Linked DNA regions of Saccharomyces cerevisiae S288C. The gene in region 1 interacts genetically with each later gene. Each region holds a gene or a part of one and is shown on either strand. Other genes may lie near its edges.

Region 1 (2,899 bases):
TTTATATTCATTTTATTACTGTATTCCTTTTTTCAAGGCGGGAGAAACTTATACCGCCATAGTAAAATAAATAGTGACTAAGGTAGCCAGAACTTCTCATCAACAAATTGCGAAATTAATTTCTCTTAGAAAAGCCATTCATTGGAAAAATGAAATACCGTAAATTTTAATCATCCATTGCAAGATCTTTTATATACTCTGTGCAGTTTTTTCAACTCTAGCCAATTTATCCTGTCGTTGAAATCTAAATCTCTAAGAGCAATTTGAGATTTCGATATACATTCGGAGAAAAATTATTTTTACGCTGACGTTATATTTAAAGTTCGGAACGCATACACATTAAAAATCCTTTTTTCAAAAAACAACAAAAATATTTTAGTATTTTCAAATATTAAAAAAGAAAAATAAATATTTTGTTAGGTAGTCATGTGATTTTTTGTCACGTTTTGTTGAGTTATATTATCTCAAGTGTAGTAAATCGCTTTATTTAACAGTTGTGTTAATTAACTAAGGTTCATAGACAGATTGCACATGGTAATCGAAAGCCTCATATTGAAAGGGCCATCACATCCCTAAATATATTTAGTAGTTTTAAATTATTAATTTTTTTAAGGATACGCTATAAAGGATTACATAATAGAAGATACAATTAAGTAGTACAGCTCAACAGCTACAAGAATTATTTTCTCCATCTAGGCGAATATTGATGGCATCATTATAGTCATCTTCAAAGGCTTCTGTATCAGCTTGATTCTGTTGTAAAGCACTCCTTGCAATTTCTTCAAATGCGGTATCAACGTTTATGGCGTTTTTGGCACTTGTTAAAAACAAAGGAATATCGCCTAATGATTTAGCAAGCTCCTGAGCGGACTTTTCTGATACAATTTTTTTAGATTCTTCGGCATCAATTTTATTTCCCAGTATAACAAATGGAAATGTTTCTGGTGAGTTTACGTTCGCATGCACTAGAAATTCATCTCGCCAAGACTTAATATTCTCAAAGGAACTGGCATTGGTCACATCGTAGACCAAAACGCAACAATCTGCACCTCTATAGAAAGCAACACCCAGTGATTGGAAACGTTCCTGTCCAGCAGTATCCCAAACTTGCATGGTGGCAACTTTATCACCGTCAACTGTCACCTCTTTTGTTAAAAAGTCAGCCCCAATTGTTGCTTTATACTGTTGAGAATACTTATCATTGACATAACGGTGCATCAAGGAGGTCTTCCCAACACCAGAGTCACCTAGGATGATTACTTTCAAAATATTTTTTTTTCTAGAAGACATCACTTAATTTGAATTGATACAGAAGGGGTTTCTATATGGATAAGAAGTGGACTGGATGAGCTTATTCCTCTTATTTTGTTGGTGATTCCCAATGCTGTTCCTCTGTAACGACTGCTTTCAAGATAAAGGTACAGATTAACAAAAGGAACTTCTTCTCTCAGTAGGTCGAAATGCGAAAAGTTAATCCGCGAGATACAAACGTTACCCGTACCGGTGAGTTCTGAGGTTATTCCAATCACTGAAGAATCGTCAGCTATTACAGAGTAAAACAGCTGTCACTCTTTTCGAGTTACGGAGCTGCCCGTATATATATATATATGTAATGATGTTTCTTTCAAACTCTTTATCTCTTATTTTTGGGTAAAAAATTCTATAGAACAAGTGAGAAGAAGGTAAAATATTGCAATGCTCAGTCAATCTTAAACACATTCTTGAAGAACGCTAATGTTGGTTGTGGCAAATGCCACAAGACTACGCTGATCTAAGCACGCCTTCCTGAACTCCATATAATTGCTTAGTTCCTCGGCCAACCTTTCGTGAGCTACAAAAATTTCGCTTCCAAGTTCTTTGAGCATTTTTGAAGAGGCCTTTATCTGAACCGCTAGTCTTTGCTCCGATTGTTCACGCTTCGTTTCAATAAAACCACCAAGTGGAGCACGACTAGAGGTATCTGATGCACTTTTTGGCTTAACCATGTTAGGAAAAGCCTTCCGATAGCTTTTATGTAAAGCTAAAAACTCACCATAATGTTTCCACCAGTTCGGAATTTTTTCAAATAAAATTATCTGAACGAAACTAGATAGTTGGATAGTACATTGTTCCAAGAAACGCACGTTTTCTAGTAGTGCTGCTAGCGATAATTCACTGAACATATTATGATTTGTTATAATCCCCTTAAATGCGCTGGATGCTTCACTATTAATTAATTTTCTACCCATTTCGTTAAGACCCTTATAAGCATCCTCGAAATCATCGGATTTCAAATTAATAAATATTAAGACTTTCCTCAAAATATTCAAGCTTGCCTTAAATGATGAAATCTCATCAAAATTAAAACGTAAAAAGCTTTGTATCATATTAATCTCCTCGGGTTCCATTGTTTTTGGATTTTCTTTTCCTGAGGGTTTCTGGTTTCTTTTAGAAGTGTTTATGCGCATCCAATATAAGATAGAAGCCTCATCAGTGAACAAATTTTCTGGAATTTTTTTCAGGAATAAAAGAACGTTGAAGCAGTTAGTTAATTGGTGAAGTAACGATGTGACATCTGTTTTCCCGATTATTGTTAAATCAGAACGGTTTAAGTGCGATATTTCATCGATATAGGTATTTAATGGCAAAAAGGTGAACGGATTGTCTTTCAGAATTGAGCGTAGTAAGCCTTGAATTGTTTTCATGTTAATAACAGTAGTGGCGAAAGGTTTCTCTGCATTTGAAACGGATGTTATATTTGTTGTCGCATTTAAATTATGATATCGCAAAGAATGAAAATATATTAATCCAAAAAGTGAATCTTTGACACCCCTTTCTCCTATCTTGCTTAGTACCGAGTGATCTTTTGCATAATCAAAACAAGTGAAGAAGGTCGAGTTTTGAACCTTCTCTAATATAA
Region 2 (3,515 bases), on another chromosome or scaffold:
AAGGAAGGCCATACTGCTGCTGATTCCTTTTCACCGTGGCCAAGGAATCATCTCTGTATCCGATGATTCCTTCGTCAATACTCAACAGTACAATCTCAATGCCGTAATCGTAACGGTCATTCAGAAGCTTCAGCATATGCGCTAACACCGTGGAGTCTTTACCACCAGAGGCCCCCACGGCTACTTTTTCTCCCCTCTGAAACAAGTTATTTGCTACAATAGTGTTATGGATCTCCGTCTCGAACACGAGGCAGAAGCATTGTTTGCAAAGTTTAGACAGGTTTTTGGGTCTTCTAATGAGAGCCTTTCTTGAATGACATAGTTCACACAACTGTGATACCTTCACTTTTGTCGGTTTATTGACGGGATCTGAAGGAGCAGTAAACGACATGACGGTTCCTTTGCTTTACTCTTACCATATCGTCTCATCGCCAAAATTTTTCAATTACTAGATTTACAATTTTTTTTTTTAGTACAAATATACTCTCAGGATTTGTAACCCGGATAGTAACTCATTAATTCAAGCACTGTTGTTAAAATGTCTAGCCTTCTTGTTGGCTATCTGTAACCTCCTACCAGTGTTATCGACGTCATCTTCAAGTGCTGTAAGTAGCTCATTCTGTGTTTGCAGCTCCTCGTTCATCTCTAAGGCCAATCCACGTTGTGCCTGGATAATTCGGTGCAGTGCAACCAACTCTTGTTCTTGATCGCGCACCATTTGCATCTGCCCCTGTTGCAAATCGTTATTCGTTCTTCCTTGAACTTCCGTGGTTGAAGAGTTGTCACTGGTGGCAACCCCCAGAAGTCGTCCACGGTCCTGAGCTATGTTTGCTGTACCAATGTCATCGCATTCCTTGAGCAAGGACCTCAATAGAGCGGCGCGACGAGTCACTTCCGTGCTTGGAAGAGACTTCTTTTGCACATCCTGTTCTAGTCGCTCTCGTAACTTGTGGAGCTTCGTACGTGCCCTTAGTGCTCCACGCACGCTGGGTGTGCCATCACTCTCCTTATCTAAATCCAATTTAATATCTCTTATCATCTCATCCCATCCCACTTCGTCAGCAGTTTCTAGATGCTGCTGTGACTTTTCTTGAGAAACATTTGGCTTTGACAACTGCAGGAAGTCTTGCGCTATTTTTGTGTCTCTCCATCGAGAATCAAAACGATCGTTATACAATTCATTGAGGAACCTCTCTAGTCCGATCCGTCTTTCATCGATCATTTCCGGATCATCATATCTTCTTTGCCACCTCCTGTCCAATACACCGGGCTTTTCAGGGAAGTCATATGGGATGGTGCTTCCTACATCTCTCTCCAATCGTGTCTTCAGTTTCCAAAACTCGGAATACCTTTTGTAAAGGCGCTTGTTTGGTGTACTAACACCGTATAAAACATACTTGGGGTTGATTTTAACATCGTCCACCTTGATTCTTAACTTTTCACTCATTTTCCCTACAGAATTAGCTGCCATCAATATCAATTATCAACCCTTATATGACTTTATTGTTTTTGTTTTTGTTGGCTAATTAATTGATACAAATCTTTAGGCGAAAAATAAAAAAAATATAAAGTAAAGAAGGAAAAATTAGGCGATATTAAAACAAATCTAAAATAAAGACAAGAAACGAAAAAGAGGTTAATCAAGTATTGGAAAAATGTCCAAAGTGTTTATTGCCACAGCAAATGCAGGTAAAGCTCATGACGCTGATATTTTCTCGGTTTCTGCTTGCAATTCATTTACGGTAAGTTGTTCAGGTGACGGTTACTTAAAGGTGTGGGATAATAAGCTGTTAGATAATGAAAATCCAAAAGATAAGTCATATTCTCACTTTGTCCATAAGTCCGGATTGCACCATGTCGATGTCTTGCAAGCTATTGAGAGAGATGCATTTGAATTATGCCTTGTTGCTACCACTTCATTTTCTGGCGATTTACTCTTCTATCGTATCACTAGAGAAGATGAGACTAAAAAAGTTATATTCGAGAAATTGGATCTTCTAGACTCAGACATGAAAAAGCATTCCTTTTGGGCATTAAAATGGGGTGCCTCAAATGACAGACTACTTTCCCATAGGCTGGTTGCTACAGACGTCAAAGGGACCACTTACATTTGGAAGTTTCACCCGTTTGCAGATGAGTCAAATTCTTTAACACTAAATTGGAGCCCCACGTTAGAATTACAAGGCACTGTCGAATCGCCTATGACTCCAAGTCAATTTGCCACTTCTGTGGATATCTCTGAACGAGGACTAATTGCCACAGGTTTTAATAATGGAACAGTACAAATTTCAGAACTATCTACATTACGCCCGTTGTACAATTTTGAATCTCAGCATTCTATGATTAATAATTCGAATTCCATCAGATCGGTGAAATTTTCTCCTCAAGGATCCTTATTAGCCATTGCTCACGATTCAAATTCATTTGGTTGCATCACTCTATATGAAACTGAATTTGGTGAAAGAATAGGCTCCTTATCCGTACCAACCCATAGCTCGCAGGCAAGTCTGGGTGAATTTGCACATTCTAGCTGGGTCATGAGTCTATCGTTTAATGATTCTGGTGAAACATTATGCAGTGCCGGATGGGATGGTAAATTGAGATTTTGGGATGTAAAAACAAAGGAAAGAATCACTACATTGAATATGCATTGTGATGATATTGAAATTGAAGAGGATATCTTAGCTGTTGATGAACATGGAGATTCTTTAGCTGAACCTGGTGTCTTTGACGTGAAGTTTTTGAAAAAAGGTTGGAGATCTGGTATGGGAGCTGATTTAAATGAAAGTTTATGCTGTGTTTGTTTAGATAGAAGCATCAGGTGGTTTAGAGAAGCTGGCGGTAAATAATCTCTAGTAATATCTTGATATATTGCATGTAACCTTACAATCATCCATTATTCTTTTTGGTTCATAAAATTTCAGTAATATTTAATACCTTTAATAAGCCAATGTATGAATTTCACTTCACAAAAATAAATTTGCTAGTAATAAAAAAAAAAAATTGGTTTTTTTATGTATTTCTTAAATATTAGAAAGAGATAGACTCAATTCTTACATATGTATATGTGGAGAACTTGAAAAAAAAAATTAATAACAAAGTAAATGAGAAAAAATGATAAAGGGAAAGAAAAGGACAAGATGTTAAAAATCCAGTGCTTTTTTTTTTTGGTTTTCATTTTTTATAGTTTTTATTCCTGTCATAAAATTTGTTTAGTTTTTAATTTTCTTTTTTTTTCATATTTTTTTATTTTTTTTATTTTTTTTAATAAGATCACTCACCTAAGAGGTCCATATGGAGTACTAATAAAAAAAGTAATAATAATAATCTTTCTTCTTTATTTCGTTTTTCAAAAATTTTGTTAGCTTCCGATTTTCATTTTAGGAAAATATGTTTCTAGATTTTTTTTTTTCAAATTTTTCAATTTTTTTATTATATCTGTTTCGAAATTCTGTTTTCTCATGAGAGAAAATAATAAAATGATAGATTAGAAAGATGATCCTGGGCAAAAGAGA

What was found.
Region 2: mutations in YPT7 (region 1) and VAM7 together harm fitness less than expected from each alone (positive genetic interaction), as found in Saccharomyces cerevisiae (3 studies listed by BioGRID).

The regions. Positions count from the first base shown.
Region 1 is NC_001145.3:265,565-268,463, reverse strand, and holds YPT7 (Rab family GTPase YPT7), read right to left. Parts: upstream 1,291-2,899; coding exon 664-1,290; downstream 1-663. Other genes in the region: VRL1 (Vrl1p), read right to left, coding at 1,710-2,899. UniProt on the Saccharomyces cerevisiae protein: Ypt/Rab-type GTPases are key regulators of membrane trafficking and intracellular vesicular transport.
Region 2 is NC_001139.9:89,388-92,902, reverse strand, and holds VAM7 (Vam7p), read right to left. Parts: upstream 1,472-3,515; coding exon 521-1,471; downstream 1-520. Other genes in the region: NCS6 (Ncs6p), read right to left, coding at 1-391; SKI complex subunit WD repeat protein SKI8, read left to right, coding at 1,656-2,849. UniProt on the Saccharomyces cerevisiae protein: Essential for proper morphogenesis of the vacuole. May exist as structural reinforcement on the surface of the vacuolar membrane and be required for maintenance against rupture by osmotic pressure.